4 linked regions of the Arabidopsis thaliana genome follow. The protein of the gene in region 3 interacts with the protein of the main gene of each other region in a pairwise test. Each region holds a gene or a part of one and is shown on either strand. Other genes may lie near its edges.

Region 1 (4,213 bases), on a different chromosome or scaffold from region 3:
AATGAGGAAGGAAAATAGAAAATAAGCAGACAATCTACATTTTTTTTTTTTTTTTTTTGTCGTCAATCTACAAACTTCTTTGCATACTTTTCATATATATATATTTTTTTTAAAACGTAATAGTATAGGATGTATATTAAATGATATGAATAGTGGAATGATTCAGTAACCAAAACAATATAGCTAAAGAAAGTGTATTTATTAACATATATAAAAAGTTGGTTTTAGGGTAAGACTAATGCCTCGAATTTACTAGTTGTAACATTTTATTCTTTTTAAAGAGAATATGTGTCTCGAATTTACTAGGCGGGTGTAATTGGTTGTAGAAAAACGTTATTGTTAAAGATGGCTTTGATCAGTGCAAAGTGCAAACAAGTGACGTACGTAAAATAGATGTAAACAATACCAATTAAAACATAAGTAGTTATTTGAAAAGAAAACTCTTAACATAAAGAAGATTATAGACCACTAATTTGTATTTCAAACTATATAATCATTTGTCCTTTGTTATAATCTACTTGTCTAATGTCTAATATGTAATGGAAGAAATGGTCTGTCTTCACTCGAACCGTTTCCAACTGATAGTATTAATTAAATTCAATATCCAATGTACCGATAAATTAACAGAAACATCCATGAAAGTCTTGGTCACAAAAAATATATTTCATGCACTTAAAAGAGATTTGGTGAAGAAATCTCAAAACAGTCTTATTACAATCAAAATTTATCTATCGTATATAATAAATAAACAAAAAAATCGGTGAGATTAGAATATTGAACTGGAAAAGAAAAAAGAAAAACCAAAGTCAAAGGAAACGACAGCTTCCAAGTAAAACACTATTAGAAGATTAAGTGAGACCAAACTCCAACCTTCCTCACATATTTTGGATAAGCTTCGCATCTATATTCCTCCTACTTCCATGTGCCATTCCTTTTTCAATTCATAACACGGCACCGTCTAAATGCTTATCCACACTACAATAAAAAATAGTCATTTTTATTATATACGCGTTTCAAATACTGATAACACGATACAGTACTAATTTAGGGGACACTATATTTGTGAAAACTGCGGACTATACACTTTTCTAGTATCCAAATTTAATTTTGAGCAATAATTTTATCGTAACGTATATTTGTCTTATAATGCTCCTACTTGCAAGTATTATCCTAATTGTTTGACCTTATAGATAGAGCTTTTATAACTTTTGTAGGGAAACATCAAACATGTATTAAAATCTCTAGTGTTGCGAATTTAAGTTTATGCTTTCTTGAGTTTCTTTAATTGCCCGTCATTACGCTACTAAAATTTCACAATTTTGTCCGTTTTATACATAAATATACATAAACAAATACGTGATTTTTCTCTCTTTTTCTATTCAATTCATTATAGAAAATAAATGACGTTTTTCATATTTGCAACTAAAACATTGTTTTCTTTCAGTTTTATGTGGTACATGACACCTGTTATGTTTTACGATTGTTGATATATATTCAAAACACCATGTGCATGATTAGTTGAACTTGTAGCTGTAGATCGACAACTATCAAAATTATTATATATTTGCTTCGATCAAAAACTATCTACAGCTTGTAAATATTGCTCATAAGTGACAACCCATAACGCATGACTGACTTTCAAAAATGTATTTGCAGAAAATTTTATATTCTTATCGATCAACCCCTAAATGTTATACTACATCGCATATATCATCAAATAAAACATTTCTATATATGTATTAACATGTTATGAACATGACTGTGTGTTTTAACTTTAACTTTTATTAAAAGATAATATCTTACCAAAAACGAGAAAATATTCGATATTTCCTTAGAAATCAGATTACTGAACATTCGACTAATCATCAGGCATTTACCTTTCATAGAAAACAGTTCAAAAAGCAATATAAAGCCAAAAAACGAAAAAAAGATTATCCTGAAATTAATCCACAGTACTGGTTTTTTTTTTTTTTAAAAAGGAGACCGCGTTTCTACGCTGACTTTCAAATCAGTCGCGTCGGTATTATTCCACACGCCTTTTTTCTCGTCCCCATCCTCTATCCACATTTCTCTCTATATATACTCTCCTCGTATCCTAAACTCATCCTCAAATTCAAAATTTAACACACAAACACAAACACACACACCAAAAAAAACACAGACCTTAAAAAAATAAAAATGGTTGATATGGATTGGAAGAGGAAGATGGTATCATCAGATTTACCAAACTCACCTAAGCTTTCTTCAAAGCTTCACGTAACTATTCCATCACCGTTCAAAATCGTCCCTGTTTCATCTCCGATCTCATGTTCAGCACCTGCTCTTTGCTCTGCTTACGAGCTTTACCTTCGTCTCCCTGAGCTAAGAAAGCTCTGGTCATCTCGTGATTTTCCTCAATGGACATCAGAGCCGATTCTCAAACCAGCTCTTCAAGCTTTGGAGATCAGTTTCAGATTAGTTTTCGCCGTTTGTTCTGATACTAGACCGTACATCAACCACCGTGAATGGAACCGGAGGCTAGATTCTCTCATCACGAAGCAGATCCAGCTTGTAGCAGCGATCTGCGAAGATGAAGAAGAAGAAGGTATATCAGCGGAGGCTCCGGTCGGCGGTGGACGGAGTTCGTTGAGTTTGTTACCGCAGCTAGCTACGTGGAGGAGATCAGAGGCTTTGGGGAAGAAGATCTTATATACGATCGATAACGAGATGAGTCGGTGTAAGTACACGCTCGGACTCGGTGAACAAAACATCGCCGGAAAACCAAATCTCCGGTACGATGCGATTTGCCGACCAAACGAGATCTATAGCCTCAAGGATAATCCATACGCAGATCATATCGATAATCACGAGAATCAAACTCTCTATATCATTCACCAGATCCTCGAATCGTGGATCTACGCATCTGGAAATCTTCTGAATCGAATCGTCTCAAGTATCGAAGAAGAGAAATTCGGAAAAGCTTCAAACGATGTTTACTTGCTGGAGAAGATCTGGAAAATTTTAGCGGAGATTGAAGATCTTCATATGTTGATGGATCCGGAAGATTTTTTGAAATTGAAGAAACAGTTACAGATCAAATCGACGGGTAAAAACGATGCGTTTTGTTTCAGATCTAAAGGATTAGTGGAGATGATGAAGATGTCGAAAGATCTGAGACAGAAAGTACCGGCGGTCTTGGCGGTTGAGGTAGATCCAACCGGAGGACCAAGATTACAAGAGGCGGCGATGAAGCTTTACGCGAGGAAGACAGAGTGCGATAAGATTCATTTGCTTCAGGGGATGCAAGCGGTGGAAGCGGCGGCGAAGAGTTTCTTCTTTGGGTATAGGCAGTTAGTGGCGGCTATGATGGGAAGTGCGGAGATGAACGCGACGGCGAGTCAAGAGTCGTGTGACTCACTGAGTCAGATATTTATGGAGCCGACGTATTTCCCGAGCCTTGACGCGGCAAAGACGTTTCTGGGAGAGTTTTGGAGTCATTTGGGATGATTAAATTTTAATTTCTGCTGGTATAATTATTTAATATAAATTTAAATTGGTGGTTTGGTTTAATTTAGTTTGTAAGATAGTGAAATTTTTGGAACATTTGACGATCCATATTTGAATACAAATTCATTTTTATATGATTTATGAGATTTTTTAACAAACGATAACATTTACGAATATCGTAATCCATACTTTGAATTATCCACAAGTCGTAATTCAAATATGGGTGGTCTACTAACGAGTAACGACTAATCTATATGCTCTGACTAATCGTCAACAAATCACCACCTATCCTTCGTAGATGTTAGTGTATGAGAAAAACACAATTTCACACCTATCCTTTGTAGATGTTAAATTATGAGAAAAACACAATTTCACTTTCACAGTGTATAATATTCAAAATTCAATGATAAACACACACACAAAAACGTTATAAAAAACCCAAACCGACGATGAGTAACCAAACCGATGTATAAAACGACATTGCCTTTCTCTGTTTTTTGTGTTCAACAAATTTCATTAAGAGAAAGAAGGGAAGTGTTTGAATGAGTATTCATTCATTAGTCCAAGAAAAACATTTAATGGGCCTGTTTGTAGGCCCACTGGCACATAACCTATCTTCTGTATCATTGATGCCTTCTCCTACCTTCCTCTGACGCTCACATCGGAAACCCTAAATCTCCACTCTCTCGCGCCTTTTACCCCTTCTCAGAATCTTAACCATGGCGGC
Region 2 (8,111 bases), on a different chromosome or scaffold from region 3:
CCAAGAAAGGAACGTTATCCTTTTAATTAGTTTTTACTTTCTTAGTTTTCATACTCTTATCTAATTCACAACGAATGCTGTTGTTGGTTGTGCAAAAAGGAAACTTTAAATCTTATCTAATTTCCCATGAAAAATCACTAACTCATTCAGTTCTTTTTTTTTTGGTTTAACATTTAGTTATATGACAATGTATGTGAAACATATAAACCTTTTAATTGATTCCTCAAAGTTATATGAGTTGTTCGATTACTAAGAAAAATAATATATATAATGTCCGTTACTTTGTTTTTCTTTGTAGACTATAGCTTTCATCCAAAGCCTGATGATCAGAGCAGCAACACCAATATCAGTTATGGGATCTCCATAACACAGTTTCCTCAAAACCATATGGATTTCGTAGTGAAAGATAATATACAGGTTTTAATTGCATTGGTCGAATCCTTGATGTTTTTTTTTAACCCATATTGTGTACGGGTTTATGATATCTAAAGTCAGCAAGACACCAATAGCTTGTATAGGTTAGTCAATAACTCCTAGGGGAAACACCATATTTAATGGCCGTTTCAGTTAATTTAGATATCTTCTTTCTTTTTTTGAGTTCAAAGTTAGTTTAGTTGTCTAAAGCAACAAAATAGCTCCAATATTTGTATCATTAAATTTATTTATATACATCATAATTATTTTTGTATATATAGACATAATTGAAACATGTTTTATTATAATCTATATATACATTTTTGCAGCCATTTTGTGAAATAAATCCTTTAGTTGTGACTTATTTACAATGGCTGCCACTGGATTTTAATGTTTGTTTTTGATAATTAAAAAGAAAATATTCGAATTAAATATTTGACATTTAACAATCTTCCCAAAATATCTCCACATTAACTACACGATTATTTACTAAAATAATACTTCCAAAATATTTAATATCATTTAATTACTACAAAATTATCATTTTTGATATTGATTTTCTCCATAACTATAACAATTCGATTATAATCATCAAAGCGCAGAGATATAATCTGATAGCATTTAATTACTACAAAATTACAAAATATTTAGACAATGATTCATAAACATATCATAAATAAGATCAACATTAATAAAATAAATAGTTTTTTTTTTACAGGACGGGTTTGACAGGACGATACTTAATAACATTTGTAAACTATAAAATAAAATTATTTTATAGATAGATACAATTTGTAAACTTTTATATATACTAACTTTAAAAAATAAATTGTTCCCGCGGTATACCACAGGTTAAAATCTAGTTGTTTTTGTATTTTAACTAATAATGTGGACTAAACTTTAGGTGGAATACCTTTAGTTAACGGATCCGCTTTCATGAAATTTCTACCTATATGCTTAACTGAAACCACATCATCTTGAATCCTTTCTCACACAATATGACACTCTATGTCTATATGCTTTGATTGTTCTACTTTTGTTGTTGTTTGCATATACACTGCCGCAAAATTGTCAGACTAAACTTTAAATGATCTTTCGACACATAACCAACATGTAGTGTTTTTCACAGACTGTTCAAACCTAATGAATATAGTGTTTTCCCTAACCTAATGGCCGGTGTATTCTACAATTTTGAAAGATTTGCCTGAGTGACAATAAAAAAATCTCAAGCTTGTTTCTATCTCTAATCTCTTATACTGCAAATGTTAGAACGAATACTTTGGCACGAAAAATTCGTACTGAATCGCTTCATATATGTAAACAATTTTTTCTAAAGTTGACTCATTTGAACATTAATATAATTTGATGACAAAAAATAATAAAATAATAACCATTATTAACGACAACAATAACATAGATTCGTTTCAGTTATATGTAAACCATAATCTTCATGATTAATCCAGTTATGTGTAAACTTAAATACTTAAATATTAGAAATCAAAATTACATAATAAAACAGAAAAAGAAGCACATGTTTAAAATTTATTTTAGATATGGTTAAAAAGGCCAGGCCCAGCTTTATATTATTAATAGAAGAGTCCACATTTAGAGCGGAGACTAGGCCTATATTCGCGGAAGCGTCAATTCAGGTTTTCAAAACGTCGTCGTTGTATCTTCCTCCTCTAGATTCTTCTTTTTCTTTTCAATTTCACCAAAATCCCGAGTTCCCGACACAATCGCCCTTGTTCTTCCCCTTTAACTCTGAACACATCAGGTTTGGTTTCGTGTTTCAACTTTGAGATACTTCTCTAGATTTCAATCGGAGAGTCTTTTGTTCCGCCAAAGTTTCAATTTTTCAATACCCCACGACGGCAAATAGGTTCGTTCTTCGTTGCCTTCATGGAATTTGATTGTTTTTTTCTTAAATCTTGATCCTTTTTTTCCGTATCTATAGGCTCTGTTTTTGCCTTAGCAGATTTGTTTTTGGGTTTGGACGGTGAAAGTTTTGATTTTTGAACAGTGATATTACAATGACTTGCATTTATTTGGGTCTGGGTCTTTTGTTTGTGGCTTTGGATGGTGAAAGTTTTTGATTTTTAGCATTTTTATTACAATGACTTGCATATATATAGGATTTGGTCTTTTGTTACAATGACTAGCATTTAGTTATGTCATTTGTTTGTGTCTCATTGTTGATTCTGTTTTGTATGATCAATATCTGGAAATGTGTGTGGTAAAGGTTTTGATTTGAGTACCCTAGAGATAATATTGTTTATTATGAGATCATTCTTTTGTAAGATGAATTTACAAGCTTTATGTTTTTTAAATTTTAATACTTTAGGGTTCATGGAAGATCAACCCATTAACCAGTGCTCTAGTAGCACCAATGCGTCGGAGAAAACTCCAGAATCAACCCTTGAGCTTAACATCAAAACGTTAGACTCGCGGACGTATACTTTCCAAGTGAACAAGAATGTAAGAAATCTTCTTCTTCTTCTGCTTCACCTGCATATTTGCTTAAGTTTAGTTTGCTTATATCTGATACTGCTTAGGGCTTGACTTGTTGCAGGAAACTGTTTTGCTATTCAAGGAGAAGATTGCTAGTGAGACAGGGGTGCCGGTTGGTCAGCAGCGGCTCATTTTCCGAGGACGGGTTTTGAAAGATGATCATCCTCTCTCGGAGTATCGTATCCTAGTGCTAGCGACTTTGTTAACTTGTTGATTTTATGTTATAGTGTAGCTGTTTGTTGCATTATGCCATGTGCCCTGTGTATAAAATGCATGTTAACCAAATCTGTCGGAAGTCTAGTTTTTGATTGATCAAGTGCATCTCTGCTTTTGTGAGTCTTACACCGTAGAGGAAGCTGTAATCCAGAAAGAGAACTATATATATATATATACCTTCGATAAGCTTAGTTTTAGTTTATGTCTGTCGTTTCCTTCCATCGCTTTTCTACTTTCAGTATAGTTGATAACTTGACATCGTCATAGATTTGGAAAATGGGCATACTTTACACTTGATTGTGAGGCAGCCAGCAGAATCAGCTCCTTCCTCTGGTACACCTTCACAAGGGGCAACTGCAAATGATGGTAATCAAGTTATTTTTTATCCCCTTTCTGAGTTTTAAAAGAGCTGTTAACACAACCATCATCTTATTTCAACTTGTTATTTAATTCAACAGGAAATAATACAAATGGTGGACCATCTCGAAATGGAAGACATGTCTCCCACAGCGTAGTTCTTGGGTCTTTTAATGTTGGAGATCAGACAGAAGGCATTGTTCCAGACCTCAGCCGGGTAATCCCCAAGGATTTGTGATATTGTTTGGCCTATGGGATGGTTTGATTAGTTAGGCTAACCTGCTTTTAATTTTGTGTTGCTAACTACTAAGGTCATTGGAGCAGTTCTAAATTCTTTTGGAGTTAGTGGACAGCTTCCTACAAATCACAGTACTAATGGCACGCAATCCTCTATGCCCGTGAGTTTTTTTCTCGTCACTCTCTATTTCGAATTTATTCCATATTAGTGCTTAGTCTACATTAAGGATTGTTGAGAATCAGGTGTTGTTACTATTTGATGTGTAAGGTTTCATATTGTCATCAACTATTGCCTGTTTCTAAACTCGATGTTGCATGCGCTTTTATTTTTCCTAGTCGAATCAGTCGTCTAATGCACCTCCTGGAAATACATCTGATGGAGAGCCTGGCATTGGTGGTCAAAGCCAAGCTACGGGTCATTCACAACCTAGGCAAGCATTTCCTGGTGTATCATTTCAAACATCGATGCCTCGTGTAGTTCAGATTCCTGTTACAGCAGCCACAACGATTCCTATCCCTTCATTCTTAACGGTAGTTCTTAGTCACGTAGTAGTATTTTGATCTTGAGACTAGAGCTTTAATCTTGTCATTTTACAATGTAACTCTCTAATTCTGCAGCCTATTCCGGATTCCTTAGACACTCTAATGGAGTTCATTAATCGGATGGAGCAGGCATTATCACAAAATGGTATTGTGATCTAAGTTTTATTGTCATATTGGATAGAGAACACATAAATAAGTTAATTGGATGTTCCTCCAGGCTATCAGCCAGATACCTCTTCTGCTGGATCCGGAGGGCGACCAAGGGAAGAGTTGCCTAGAAATAGACGAGGTGCAGCAACACCTGAAGCACTCTCTGTTGTCCTAAGGAATGCACAACATTTACTGAGTGGTCTCGGTGTCTCTTCTTTATCGGTAAACACCTTCTTCACACTGCTTATTAATTGATTCCATTCTTTCTCTTTACAAGAACTGTTATGTATATGGTTACCATGCATTGTCATCTAATTATGTGCTGTTTGTAATTTGCAAAAACATTGTTGTAGCATATTGCGGGACGTCTGGAGCAAGATGGTTCATCTTCAGATCCTACTCTAAGGTCACAAATCCAGACAGAGGCCGTGCAAGTAGGTCTTGCCATGCAACATTTAGGGGCCCTCCTACTGGAGCTTGGACGCACAATTTTGACATTGAGAATGGCACCGTCGCCGGTGCGTTTTGGGTCATTCCTTTCGTGCATTTTCCTATTCATTCTTGACATGCGGCTCATTAACACTTTGATCTACAGGAATTATCCTATGTGAATGCAGGGCCTGCTGTGTATATATCTCCATCAGGACCGAATCCTATTATGGTTCAGGTAAGCTTCTAGTCTCATCTTTTTTCTAAATTAATTTTCTACTTTTATGTAATTATTACTGTATTTTGCAGCCTTTTCCTCACCAAATCAGCCCTCTCTTTACTGGTGCTACTGTCTCATCAAATCCACTAACCGGACCTGTTGGTTTAGGAACTGCCCAAAGGCACATTAATATTCACATACATGCTGGTGGGTGAAGTTCACTTTTTTGCTATTGGACTTAGCTGCACAATTCTTCTCCATTAAAATTCATACTTAATTACCAGGCACATCAGGTTCACCTATGTTGTCATCAGTTGGGAACCAGCGAAGCAATGGAGAAGGAGGACAAGGAGACCGTGACAGCAATACAAGTTCAGTTCCTGCGGCTGTTCCATCACACTCTACCGGTGAGAACGTTTCTGCTGGGGTTCAACCTGGTTTGGGTGATGATGTTTCAGTTGCTCAAATCAATGCAAGGATAAGAGATATGGTAAACATTATGCAAGGAAGAGACCAGATTCCATCGGGTAGGTTTCCTGCTGACTAAAGTTTTACATTGTGGACGAAATGTTTTCAAGCTCTTCTTCACGTGTCAATCAGGAATAGAATCTCTCGAGAGGGATATGTCTACGGGCCATGGTGTTGCCACTGCTATGCCTGAGCAGCCTACCAACATTGCAACTACTTGCGCACCTGAGTCGTCTAGTGGCTCACTGCATGACTTACCATCTGAGAGGAGCAACTCAGTGGTATGTCTTCTCTGCAATCAGATGATTCTTTATTTTATGTTCACCAGGGTTAGCCTACCACTAATTTTTGTTTTTTCAACCAGTGTCAAAATGAAAAAGATCTTGGTGGAGATTTAGAGCATCCAGCCCGAGCAAAAGATACCTCTTGTACTACAGGACAATCATCAGCTCCGTCTGGAGATGCTACCGGTGATGCCAAAGAAACCAATAAGGCTACTCCAGAGGTAGCTACAGCTACACCACTTGGATTGGGGCTTGGCGGTTTAGACCGTAAGGTAATGAATCAGTTGAAAAATAAGCGTCAAGTTGCTGCTGCTTGTTTTTCATTGCATAGCATATCCACAAGTGTCATAGTTCCAAATGCTTACAGTCATAGTATGTTTTTTTTGGTTAAAGAAACGAAGCAAGCAGCCGAAGGTATCAGGTAAGACTGAAGATAGCGGGACTTCAGCTACACTTGAAGGTGTGCAACAAAGCAGTGGGACCAGTGGTCAGCAGCTTTTGCAATCTCTCTTTTCTGGTAGTTCTCGTTCAGATGAGACTGGTCTTAGACGCGGGCAAGGTTCAGATGATCGTGTAGATGTCTCAAGTGCAATGTCTCAGGTCCTGGAGAGCCCTGTATTGGATGGATTGCTAGCAGGGGTATCTCGACAAGCTGGTGTTGATTCACCAAATATGCTGAGAAATATGCTCCAGCAGTTTACCCAGAATCCACAGATCATGAACACAGTCCAACAGATTGCGCAACAGGTGGATGGGCAAGAGATAGAAAATATGATGTCAGGTGGAGCTCAAGGCGAGGGCGGCGGCTTTGATTTCTCTAGAATGGTCCAACAAATGATGCCTCTAGTCTCACGTGCTTTTAGCCAAGGAGGGCCATTGCCTCATCCCGCAACAATACAGCCTGATGATCGTCAACCTTCTCAGGTACATCTACGAGTGTTAGGTTTGGATTTCTTGCGTTTTTGATTTAGGAAAAAAATGTGGCTGAAGAAAAACTGATACTATTATCGACTGAGTAGGATTTTGTTGTTGTCTTTTTTTAGTTGTAGAAAAAGTAACACCATTCTTACCTAGGTATTACAATAAACGTCATTGTCTCTTGTTCTATCTCGTGTAATGAATGTTATTTTTCTACTTTTTCCAAATAGGTAAATGTTCAATCCATGGCTCAAATGATTGAGCACTCTGATCCACCAGAGGATGTCTTCCGTGCAATGGTCGAAAATGCTGCGATAAGCCAAGACGAACTAGTGAACGAGCTTTGCTGTGATGAAGCTCTTTCTCAAGTAAGCATCAAAACTGACTAGTTTGTTTGTTTAATAAAAATAAAGACTCCTTGATCAGACTTGTATTTGAGTGTTGCAGGAATATGCGGAGTTGCTAAGACGTGATATCGAAGGCCGGCTAAAAGATGATCAAGGTCTATAAGATATTTGGTTGAATTGGTTCTGTAAGTGTCATATCTTTGAAGTATCTTTGTTTATTTGCTGAGATCCCTCACTTATGTATTAAGAATTAGGGTTTGGGATGGTCTATACTCTGCTAAACATAAGCAAACGTAATTTATCTGGTCTCTAAAGGGCCGATTCAATTTGATATTTCCATCTTTAACCAGAGATTACTCATAACTCTCGACATTGACCAAATTACTTGGGAAAAAGGTGTCCCTTTATAACTGACAATTTTGGTTTTGATCGAAAATTTGGCTAAAGGGCTACACTAACGAGTGACTGTAGCAAATTATATATTTAGTTTAATTCCTTAACAAATAGGTAATAAAGATTGCACAATAAATATGGAATGTAAACTAATAAATAGTAGAATAATTCAGAAAAATGAACTGTCACGACAACCCCAATAATAAGATGTTATATATTATTTAATTTTTATAAAAAATTATATATTATAAAATTTACTATGAATTTTTAATATGTTTAAAATTACAAAGTTGTTGTGTTTGTTTTGTTGTACAAATTTATAATTTTGGATTATGACAAATTAATAATATTGTTTTATTTTATATTTAATTTCTAAAAGATTATTAAAATTTGTTTTATGGTTTTACGTATTCAAGGGTTGTGAACAATTGATCACCACCGGAAAAATTAAGGATGACGACAAAATTGAACTAAAACATCATGGGTTCAGAGATTTTCAAGATCAGCGAGCCATGACTTAGCGACATCGGAGATCATGAACATTCCTAAGACAAGCTGTCTTTTGTGATGAGTTTTGCAAATAATTGTTTCATCGCTAATTTTTCTTACTTATGACTTTTCTAGAGT
Region 3 (3,952 bases):
GGCTTAAAGTCTTAAACCAACAATTAAAGACTCATGAAGAACCACCAAAGCCAAACTATGACAAGAGAAATATCAGTTCATTTGAAATCTTAAAAGGTATAGAAGTGTTGATTAAGGATAACGGACTATCGATGATATCCTCTTCGTATATTTTTTTTAAAAAAACAGCAGAAAATCTTTATCATATATACACTTTTCATTCCGTTACTTAAACGTTAGTAAATAACCAATATCATAACTCATAAGTTCATTAATCATAGGGTATATAAAGCTGTAAATCATATTATGTTGACTTTTTCGTAATATATGCAATTTTTAATAACTAAAATGTTTGAAATCGAAAGATGTCTTTGGAAAACACAAAGTGGTATATATATATAGATATAGATTTGGTTAAAAATGTATGTAATTCTTTAAAAATGACAATGTTTAGAGTTTACTGGATTGTAGAACCTATGGATTTTGTTTAATGGCAAAAACAAAAATGGAAGTAAAGATGTCCATCGACAGATCAAAAACTCATATATATTGTCAAGATGAAATGATATAACGTTCTATAAAAACATTAAGTGAATCCCTGATAATCGGAAGAACGATAAAACAACTTGAAGAGACTGAGTTATCAATGTCCCACAAGTGGTACCAAAATAGTTTATGCATACCAAAACTATTTAATTAATCGAATGTAATTGACCAAAATAGATATCAGACTCAAAAGAATACCAAAACTTCAGTGATAACCAAAAGCAGATAAAAAACGTATATAGTTTATGCATTTGCCAATAGATGAGAGGCATATCCATTGGCACTAAGATCAAAGCCAACATATATATAAAGATAAAAGGAAAAAAGAGAGGAAAAATAACTGAAAATATGAATATCCAAAATATTGTGGAAGCGCCTAGACAAAAGTAGAGCATAACAAGGGAGTATGGGTCCAAAAGTATCACAAAAGATTGCATCCTAAAACAATGTACAAAATCCAACAACGGACCGTTAATGGCACTTTAGGTTTTGTCGGTACCAAAAACAGTAATCTTCTTTTTGTTGACAAAATTAAAAACCTAAAAATCTTCATCTACCTTTCGGTTGATTAACAGTTATATTAACCATAGTTTTGAAAATTGAAACAAGCCAGCCAATTTAGGTTACAATTTTTTGTAAAATGAAATAAAAAGTCAATGGGGGATGGCAAAAAAAGAGGAGGAATAAGCAATTATGGCATGTGAGTAAAACGAAAAAGAGACACAAAACAGACAATCTATTTGTCTTCAACACCGCCACAACCAATCCCCAATGACTTGGTTACTTTTTACACTTTCTTCGCCGTTATCGCATCTCTTTTGACAAGTCAACACTCTTCATACGTCTCACTTTTTTTTTTAATATGAGAAACGCATTTATAGTTTAGTTTCTTTTGTTACACCACCCAAAAAAAAAGTCAAATCTATATATAACGTTCCTCGTTCGTTCTAATAAAAAACTATACAATAATAAATAAATAGCGACAGCTATCCAAAAAGAGTTTTAACAATACTTGTATTTTCCGTGTTTTGACTTTTGTAATTATTCTGAATATTTCCACTATCCCTTTATATTTAAAGACCCAAACTCTTCATCTATCTTCTTGCTAACTTATTCAAACCAATTCACATATCTCCTAAATCTCAACGACTGCACTTTGAAGCTTTTTGTTTAGATTCGTTCGTCGTTTCCATTGATTAAGTCTACTTCTTTTTTTTCATATTTTCGAGCGGGTCAAATGGATCAAGAGATAGAGATTCCTTCCTTCTTCCTTTGTCCAATCTCTCTAGATATCATGAAAGATCCGGTGATAGTTTCCACCGGAATAACCTACGACCGAGAAAGCATCGAGAAGTGGCTCTTTTCCGGTAAGAAAAACTCATGTCCAGTCACCAAACAAGTCATAACCGAAACTGATCTTACCCCAAACCACACTCTTCGCCGTTTGATTCAATCTTGGTGTACCCTCAACGCATCATATGGTATAGAGAGGATCCCAACTCCAAAACCTCCGATCTGTAAATCGGAGATCGAAAAGCTTATCAAAGAGTCGTCATCTTCGCATCTAAACCAAGTCAAATGCCTCAAACGACTTCGTCAAATAGTATCTGAGAATACAACCAACAAACGGTGCTTAGAAGCCGCAGAAGTTCCGGAGTTTTTGGCAAATATCGTAAGCAACTCTGTAGATACGTATAACTCTCCTTCTTCTTCACTTTCTTCTTCGAATCTCAACGACATGTGTCAGTCAAACATGTTGGAGAATCGATTTGATTCTTCAAGAAGCTTGATGGACGAAGCCCTAAGCGTACTCTACCATCTTGACACATCGGAGACAGCCCTCAAGAGTCTTTTAAACAACAAGAAAGGAACAAATCTTGTGAAAACGTTGACGAAGATTATGCAACGTGGGATCTACGAGTCAAGAGCCTATGCGGCTTTGCTTCTCAAGAAGCTCCTGGAAGTTGCGGATCCAATGCAGATCATATTGTTGGAACGAGAACTTTTCGGTGAGGTGATTCAAATCTTGCACGACCAGATCTCTCACAAGGCGACAAGATCAGCAATGCAAATCTTGGTGATCACATGTCCATGGGGAAGGAATAGACACAAGGCAGTGGAAGGTGGAACAATCTCGATGATAATCGAGCTTTTAATGGACGATACTTTCTCATCAGAGAGAAGGAATTCAGAGATGGCGATGGTGGTTCTTGATATGTTATGTCAGTGCGCAGAAGGAAGAGCTGAGTTCTTGAATCACGGTGCCGCTATTGCGGTTGTGTCTAAGAAGATATTGAGGGTCTCACAAATAACTAGTGAAAGGGCAGTTAGGGTTTTGCTTTCGGTTGGGAGGTTCTGCGCGACACCCTCTTTGTTGCAGGAGATGTTGCAATTGGGAGTTGTAGCAAAGCTGTGTCTGGTACTTCAAGTTAGCTGTGGTAACAAGACTAAAGAAAAGGCTAAAGAATTGCTTAAGCTTCACGCTAGGGTTTGGAGGGAATCACCTTGTGTCCCAAGAAATTTGTATGATTCGTATCCTGCTTGAACAACGTACATGTTTGAATAATTCTCATCAGATACAAACAATTCTTTGAGAATTATTCTTCGTATAAGTTCATTTTAAAACAAAAAAGAGTGGTTTAAATTTTGCTCAAACTCTGATTTTCTTTCATTTGTTTTTGTTTTATTATCTTTCAATGTTTATCATTATGTGTAGATAATAGTGGACATATTTTCATGAAATTATGAAAAAACTGCAAAGAAATAAATGGATTCACAGGTTACATGGCTATTTTATCCCACTTGCTTTGTTCGTAATTGTTAGAGGCTCCTTATTTATATTCTTTTTGTCCATTACTCACAATAATAATGGAGAACATCTCTTTCAACTTCTCGTTTTTATTGAGTGGATAACCTAAAGGTTACATCATAGTTCTGCTAAAACCATTACTTTTTACAAATACTTTTAGAGATTTGTATGCGTCATGTGTAACGTTTCTGACCATTTAATTGATGCCAGAATTGTAACATTGCGAATGTAATTATGTATATATATATATATTATGTCGGTACGTTCTACAACTCTAATCCCACTATTGATTTATATATTCCAGTATACATCGACGATATCCACGACGGGCATTCTTTCATTCGAGGATGAGTTTCTGTTTTAAGAAATTCTTAATTAAGATTTGTTTTCTTAATTATTATGTAAACATACCAAAAGTCCTTCATATATATGTGATTTTGTATTCACTTATTGTGATTTTTTAGATCACTCAGTTTAAAATGATTTAGACTAAACGTGGTAAAAACTGTTTACGAAAACTCTTTGCATGCGTTTTAACGATCAATAGACATTTCATTATCGGTAGATCGAAGGCAAAAGATAGATGAATATAGGAATCTAAAGCACGTTATAGCAATA
Region 4 (6,096 bases), on a different chromosome or scaffold from region 3:
GAAATAAACCATATAAGGCTAAAAAGTTGGATTTCATATCCTAACCAAGTCAAAACACCTACCTACCGGTTTCAATGAACGCAGGAGCTAATACAAATTCATATACAATGGACTGACATTCAAAACAATGAATCTTTAAGATAGAGCAACAAGAATCTTACAGAAGGAGAGTGTGGGTGATGGTGAGAGAACTCATTGCGGTTGTTGTTGTCACTGTGAACCGTAGTTAGCTTCTTAGGCTTGGCAGTATCAACAGGAGGCTGATCATGAAAAGGGTTAATGAGTTCTTCCTCGTTGCCAAGACTGGCTCGAGAAGCATCTCTCTTGTTGAGTTTCCTCATCTCTCTGATCTTTGAGAAATCCATTGAGTAATCAATTGATCCTCCTTTTTGATCCCAATCTCCAAACTGTGGTACTGATAGCCATGGCGAGTTCTTGTTCTGCCAAATAAATCTCCATTTCAATTACTTTTATTTTCAAGAACCATTAGAAAGAAAAAAACACAATCCTAAAAATCAATCACACAAAAAAAGACTTTTTCACCAAGATTCAGAGACTAATTTCTCACATCAAAATCGAATATTAATGCAAGAAGTTGACATGAACATCCCATTTTATTTAATGTATCACTTTAACTTTAATATTATGTAAGGAGAAAACACAGAAGACGAAGGGATTAGACCAGAAAATAAAAAATAAAAACCTCTTTTCGATCTTCCATGTGATCAAAGCTTCTGTAGCTAGCAGTGAATCCTGTTTTTTTTTTTTATAATAAGTTAAAGATGATCTTAGGAGGAAGATGGGTGATACAGAGCAATTTATAAGCGAAAGAAAAAGTATACCAAAATTTAATACAGCAAAGTAACAGGTCGATTGGTGGTGATACAACTATACTGTACACAACATATCAAAAATATTTTTGTTTTATTTTGTTTTTTTCTGCTTCGGGAAAAGGTTAGCTTTTGTGCATTAATTACGATACTGCCATTCGTTCGGACACGCACACACGCTTAATCCGCGTCAGCTTTGCTCTCATTTCCTGTTAAATGACGTCGTTTAGTATACTGTCGATTAATGGTCTAACCTTTAAGTTATGATATTAAAACATAAGTTTATTGGTGAAGATTTGAAGGCCGGCAACTGATTTTATTAAATTTATAGTGATATGTTTTTCCAATAGCTTAAGCAAAATTTGTTTGGAGTTGATTAGTTCATTTTCATTTATCTTTTTTGTTCCTAGAGCGGTTAGTGAACACTGAATGAATACACACACTGACTCCACTAAGAACCCAAAAAAAAAAACTCACATCATTTTGTGTATTTTGTTAGATAAAATCAAACCTAGCCGACGTTAGTGAATCTGTATCCACTTAAATATCATCTACAGCAACAAAAAAGTCCACAATAAGATATAAATAAGTACGACTTTGCTTCGTCAACTGTATGACTGCTATTAACAATCCCGAACTATTTAGTCATGGAGGCGATTAACATAAATTCATGTTTAATGATGCGAGCCGTTACATGATATATATACATGTTGATTCTTAATTTTCATTTCCAATTTCACTATTTCAGTCATATTTGAGAAAAAAGATGTGTGCTCGTACGTTTTAAGTTCCATGAACAGCCAATTTAAAATTAACGGGTGAATAAGTTGACGCATATTCATTTAAAATTGTAATTACGAATTCAACTTACTAAAACCATATACATAACGACCAAAAACTTAATAAAACTATAAATTTAAAAAGAAATCAAGTTGCGTGACGATGTGGCGTGAAGAGATCCACAGAGAAACTGACGTGGTTGATGATATAGTTAGACACGTGGCAGAGTATGAGAAGTGTCTGTTTTTCAAAGGAGCTATGTGAACCACAAAAGAGGTAACTTCACCGGATTTGTTATCTCTTCAAGACTTCTACCCTCTCTTCTCCTTCTTCCTCACCACAAAATTAGATTCTTTCGTTTGTTTTTTGTGTGTGTTATATTTGTCTTTATTTCATATCCATTTATTGACTTTGTAAGAACATTGCATTGCATGTGGCAGAGAACTCAAAGTTAGTAAAAATGAATACTCCGATTTGTATCACTTCTTTCCTTTGGCATTATATCAAAATATGGTCTTCAAAAACTAGAATTATACAATCGTAGAATGCATTTACTTGTCATTCATAGAAAGTTGCAATACAACTACCATTAGTACTTACAAACATTGCAACCAAATACATTTTTTATTGTAAAATAGTACTCCATACATATTTCATGCTCCATACATATTTCGATTTTTCACTATTTTCATTCCAATTTTTTGTGATAACTGAAGATAATTTTATTGGGTTTTTCTTTTTTGGTCGTCAATAATATTAATTTATTTTCTAAGTATTGATTTTATTTATTGATAATTGATAATGATATATTTTCGAATATAGAGAAAAAAATACAAACTAATAAAAAAATCAAATAAAATCTGGTGGCTCACGCTCAAAACGATAGAGAGAAACTCTTATCAAAGCTTTTGATTTCTCTCTCGAGGGTTTCTTACTCTGCTGCTTCTTCTTCTTCTTCAGTAGAGCGAGATTCTCTCGCGCTCTCTATCGCTACATATAACCATGGGTTTATCAACGAATCTCCATAGCCTCGACCTCCGTTCAACTTTCTTCACCGGTCTACGTACATCTCCAATCCCTTCCAATTTCATCAAAATCTCTTCCATTTCCAACCCTAGACGCGATATCTCCACCATCAGAGCCCAAGTCTCCACCATCAGCCTCGAGACCTCCGTTAAACAGCGTCAAGACGAAATCGAATCTCTTTTCTCGAAGCAACCCTCTCAGCAAGACTCCGATCGGAAACGAAACGGGAAGAGTTCCAAAAACGGAGCTTCTGGGATATCTTCAGGTGTGAAGCTAGAGAACATAAGGAAAAGCTACAAAGGCGTGACTGTGCTTAAAGATGTGACATGGGAAGTGAAGAGAGGTGAGAAAGTAGGGTTAGTTGGTGTGAACGGAGCTGGGAAGACGACTCAGCTCAGGATTATCACTGGTCAAGAAGAGCCTGATTCTGGTAACGTAATCAAGGCCAAACCCAATATGAAAGTAGCTTTCTTGAGCCAGGAATTTGAGGTTTCGATGAGTAAGACTGTGAGGGAAGAGTTCATGACTGCTTTCAAGGAAGAGATGGAGATTACTGAGAAGCTTGAGAAAGTTCAGAAGGCTATTGAGGGATCTGTTGATGATTTGGATCTTATGGGAAGGTTATTAGATGAATTTGATTTGTTGCAGAGACGAGCTCAGGCTGTGAATTTAGATTCCGTTGATGCTAAGATTAGTAAGTTGATGCCGGAATTAGGGTTTGCTCCTGAGGATGCTGATAGGCTTGTGGCTTCGTTTAGTGGTGGATGGCAAATGAGAATGTCACTTGGAAAGATTTTGCTTCAGGTATATGAATGATTGTTTACTTAAAGTTTTATCCTTTCAATGAGTTTGAACTCAAAGCTAATGTGAATGAATTGTGTGTTTCTTTGCGAGTAGGATCCAGATTTGCTGCTACTTGATGAGCCGACAAATCATTTGGATCTTGATACTATTGAGTGGCTTGAAGGTTATTTGCAAAAGCAAGATGTGCCTATGGTTATTATTTCACATGACAGAGCCTTTCTTGATCAGTTATGTACTAAAATTGTGGAAACTGAGATGGGTGTGTCCAGGACATTTGAGGGTAATTATTCTCAGTATGTGATCTCAAAGGCTGAGTGGATCGAAACTCAGAATGCAGCGTGGGAAAAGCAACAGAAAGATATCGACTCAACTAAGGACTTGATCGCCAGGCTTGGTGCTGGTGCCAATTCTGGTCGTGCTTCCACTGCAGAAAAGGTTTGCAAACAAAAAGAATATGCTAATTTGCTGAACTATTGTGGTGATTGCTAGGGCGTGACATTAATGGAAAAAAATTTCTACTGTTTCCTAAGCCAATATTCTGGCTTGCTCTTTTATCTGTGAACCGTCTGGAGACGTTGAAGCTTATGTTTCCTCTTGTATTGTTTGTAACAGAAACTAGAGAAGCTTCAAGAACAGGAGCTAATAGAGAAGCCATTTCAGCGGAAGCAGATGAAGATTAGGTTTCCAGAGCGTGGGACAAGTGGAAGATCGGTAGTCAATGTTAAAAACATTGATTTTGGTTTCGAGGATAAGGTGAGTTACTAGAGTATAACTCATGACAATAGTATAAATCCTTAATCGCTCACGTTTGACCCTGTGAAAAATGTGTATTGTTGAAAAAGCAGATGCTATTTAAGAAGGCTAATCTATCAATAGAAAGAGGGGAGAAAATCGCCATCCTTGGGCCAAACGGTTGTGGGAAAAGTACGTTATTGAAGCTAATTATGGGTTTAGAGAAGCCTGTGAAAGGTGAAGTTATTCTTGGAGAGCACAATGTACTGCCAAACTACTTTGAACAGAATCAGGTCAGTTTTCACTTACTCAATCAATTCAAGAGCTAAACAATTGGAGACAGGTTTGCTCACTTTATTGACATAATTTGGTTTCAACCCTTTGGTTATTCTTTCGCTAGGCTGAGGTCCTTGATTTGGATAAAACAGTGCTTGAAACTGTTTGTGAAGCTGCAGAAGACTGGAGAAGTGATGATATAAAAGGTCTTCTTGGACGCTGCAACTTCAAAGCAGACATGCTTGATCGAAAGGTCTCTCTTTTAAGTGGTGGGGAGAAAGCGCGTCTTGCTTTCTGCAAATTCATGGTGACGCCATCTACTTTACTCGTTTTGGACGAACCAACCAATCACTTAGACATTCCTTCAAAAGAAATGCTCGAGGTTAGTAGTAGGCATCTCTAATTTGTTGAGAATCTTTGGATACAATGATAATAACTCTGTTCCTGGACCTGGAGATAGGCTAATTCTCTTTTTCAATTGAATCAGGAAGCGATAAACGAGTACCAAGGTACAGTCATTGCGGTATCCCACGATCGATACTTCATCAAACAAATCGTTAACAGAGTGATAGAAGTAGAAGATGGTTGTTTAGAAGATTATGCAGGCGACTACAATGTACACTTCGGATTGCACTCTTTCTACATTTTTTCCAGTATAATATGATCTCTGTATTAACTTTTGGAATGTGTGAATGTCTCAGTATTACTTGGAGAAGAATCTGGATGCTAGAACAAAGGAGCTAGAGAGAGAAGCAGAGCTAGAAGAGAAAGCACCAAAAGTGAAGGCAAAGTCAAAGATGTCAAAAGCAGAGAAAGAAGCGAGGAAGAAGCAGAAGATGCAAGCATTTCAACAAGCTAAACAGAAGTCAAAGGCTAGCAAGAACTCCAAGAGATGGAACTGAACAAACATTGAAAACTGAAAGGAGTCAAGATTTATAAAAAAGGCTTCTTCACAGTCTCACAAAATCGTCATTGTGGAATGTATATAGATATTACTTTTAGAAATGCAGAGAGAGTATTAATGTTTCTACAACACTTGAGCCCCATTGGGTAAAAATTAAGAAACTTTATTCTCAAACATGGAACCGAACCGAACCAAACCATTGAATTTCAGTGCAAAACCTAATATTGGCTCAAATATTCGTCCAACTCAATTAAACCATTTACTTCGATTGGAAACCGGGAAAACCGGTTAGGGCTTTATCTCAAAGCACTAACCGGGGTCTACTCTTCTCTTCTCTTCATCATCATCAACATCGCATTCGATACAACGAAAGTTTCGAAACCTTGTAGGAGCTATTTTCACCAAAGAGCTCTGTTCTACTTTGATCGGGAAACTGTAACAATGGTCGGAATTCTTCTGGGGTTGCCTGGGAAGTGGGCAGAAGATGAGCTTGAGCCTTCTGATCACTACACAACCAAAATCGGTGGTCTTCCGGTAATAACTCCTTCCTAGCTCTCTCTGTTCCTTCCTTTCATAGAAAGCTCAATTCTTTCGTTCTGATTTTTGATCAAAGTGCGTTTTTAGGATTGGCCGCCAATACCCGATGATGCACTGAAACCAGAACTACTCAATTGTTGTTCATGTGGAAGTAAACTTTCTCTCGTAGCTCAGGTTTTTGTTCAAATCCAAAGCTTCACTCTTTTT

What was found.
Region 1: the proteins of PUB22 (region 3) and HSPRO2 interact in a two-hybrid assay, tested with the Arabidopsis thaliana proteins (one study listed by BioGRID).
Region 2: the proteins of PUB22 (region 3) and AT5G42220 interact in a two-hybrid assay, tested with the Arabidopsis thaliana proteins (one study listed by BioGRID).
Region 4: the proteins of PUB22 (region 3) and ABCF5 interact in a two-hybrid assay, tested with the Arabidopsis thaliana proteins (one study listed by BioGRID).

The regions. Positions count from the first base shown.
Region 1 is NC_003071.7:16,699,922-16,704,134, reverse strand, and holds HSPRO2 (ortholog of sugar beet HS1 PRO-1 2), read left to right. Parts: upstream 1-1,798; 5' UTR 1,799-2,178; coding exon 2,179-3,486; 3' UTR 3,487-3,645; downstream 3,646-4,213. Other genes in the region: EIF2 (eukaryotic translation initiation factor 2), read left to right, coding at 4,206-4,213. UniProt on the Arabidopsis thaliana protein: Positive regulator of basal resistance.
Region 2 is NC_003076.8:16,870,202-16,878,312, forward strand, and holds the start of AT5G42220 (Ubiquitin-like superfamily protein), read left to right. Parts: upstream 1-2,036; 5' UTR 2,037-2,293; intron 2,294-2,755; 5' UTR 2,756-2,760; coding exon 2,761-2,889; intron 2,890-2,983; coding exon 2,984-3,101; intron 3,102-3,405; coding exon 3,406-3,504; intron 3,505-3,596; coding exon 3,597-3,712; intron 3,713-3,806; coding exon 3,807-3,893; intron 3,894-4,068; coding exon 4,069-4,263; intron 4,264-4,350; coding exon 4,351-4,420; intron 4,421-4,492; coding exon 4,493-4,647; intron 4,648-4,778; coding exon 4,779-4,943; intron 4,944-5,020; coding exon 5,021-5,092; intron 5,093-5,163; coding exon 5,164-5,281; intron 5,282-5,358; coding exon 5,359-5,601; intron 5,602-5,674; coding exon 5,675-5,823; intron 5,824-5,906; coding exon 5,907-6,098; intron 6,099-6,219; coding exon 6,220-6,750; intron 6,751-6,974; coding exon 6,975-7,112; intron 7,113-7,191; coding exon 7,192-7,254; 3' UTR 7,255-7,276; exon of another isoform or gene 7,277-7,531; intron 7,532-7,900; and 1 more. Other genes in the region: AT5G42210 (Major facilitator superfamily protein), read left to right, coding at 299-367.
Region 3 is NC_003074.8:19,440,061-19,444,012, reverse strand, and holds PUB22 (plant U-box 22), read left to right. Parts: upstream 1-1,585; 5' UTR 1,586-1,762; coding exon 1,763-3,070; 3' UTR 3,071-3,396; downstream 3,397-3,952. UniProt on the Arabidopsis thaliana protein: E3 ubiquitin-protein ligase that negatively regulates water stress response. May control in coordination with PUB23 a drought signaling pathway by ubiquitinating cytosolic RPN12a.
Region 4 is NC_003076.8:25,916,210-25,922,305, reverse strand, and holds ABCF5 (general control non-repressible 5), read left to right. Parts: upstream 1-2,051; 5' UTR 2,052-2,612; coding exon 2,613-3,440; intron 3,441-3,533; coding exon 3,534-3,875; intron 3,876-4,052; coding exon 4,053-4,193; intron 4,194-4,285; coding exon 4,286-4,465; intron 4,466-4,572; coding exon 4,573-4,830; intron 4,831-4,935; coding exon 4,936-5,064; intron 5,065-5,149; coding exon 5,150-5,350; 3' UTR 5,351-5,584; downstream 5,585-6,096. Other genes in the region: AT5G64850 (sorbin/SH3 domain protein), read right to left, coding at 162-440, 704-721; AT5G64830 (programmed cell death 2 C-terminal domain-containing protein), read left to right, coding at 5,794-5,886, 5,977-6,063.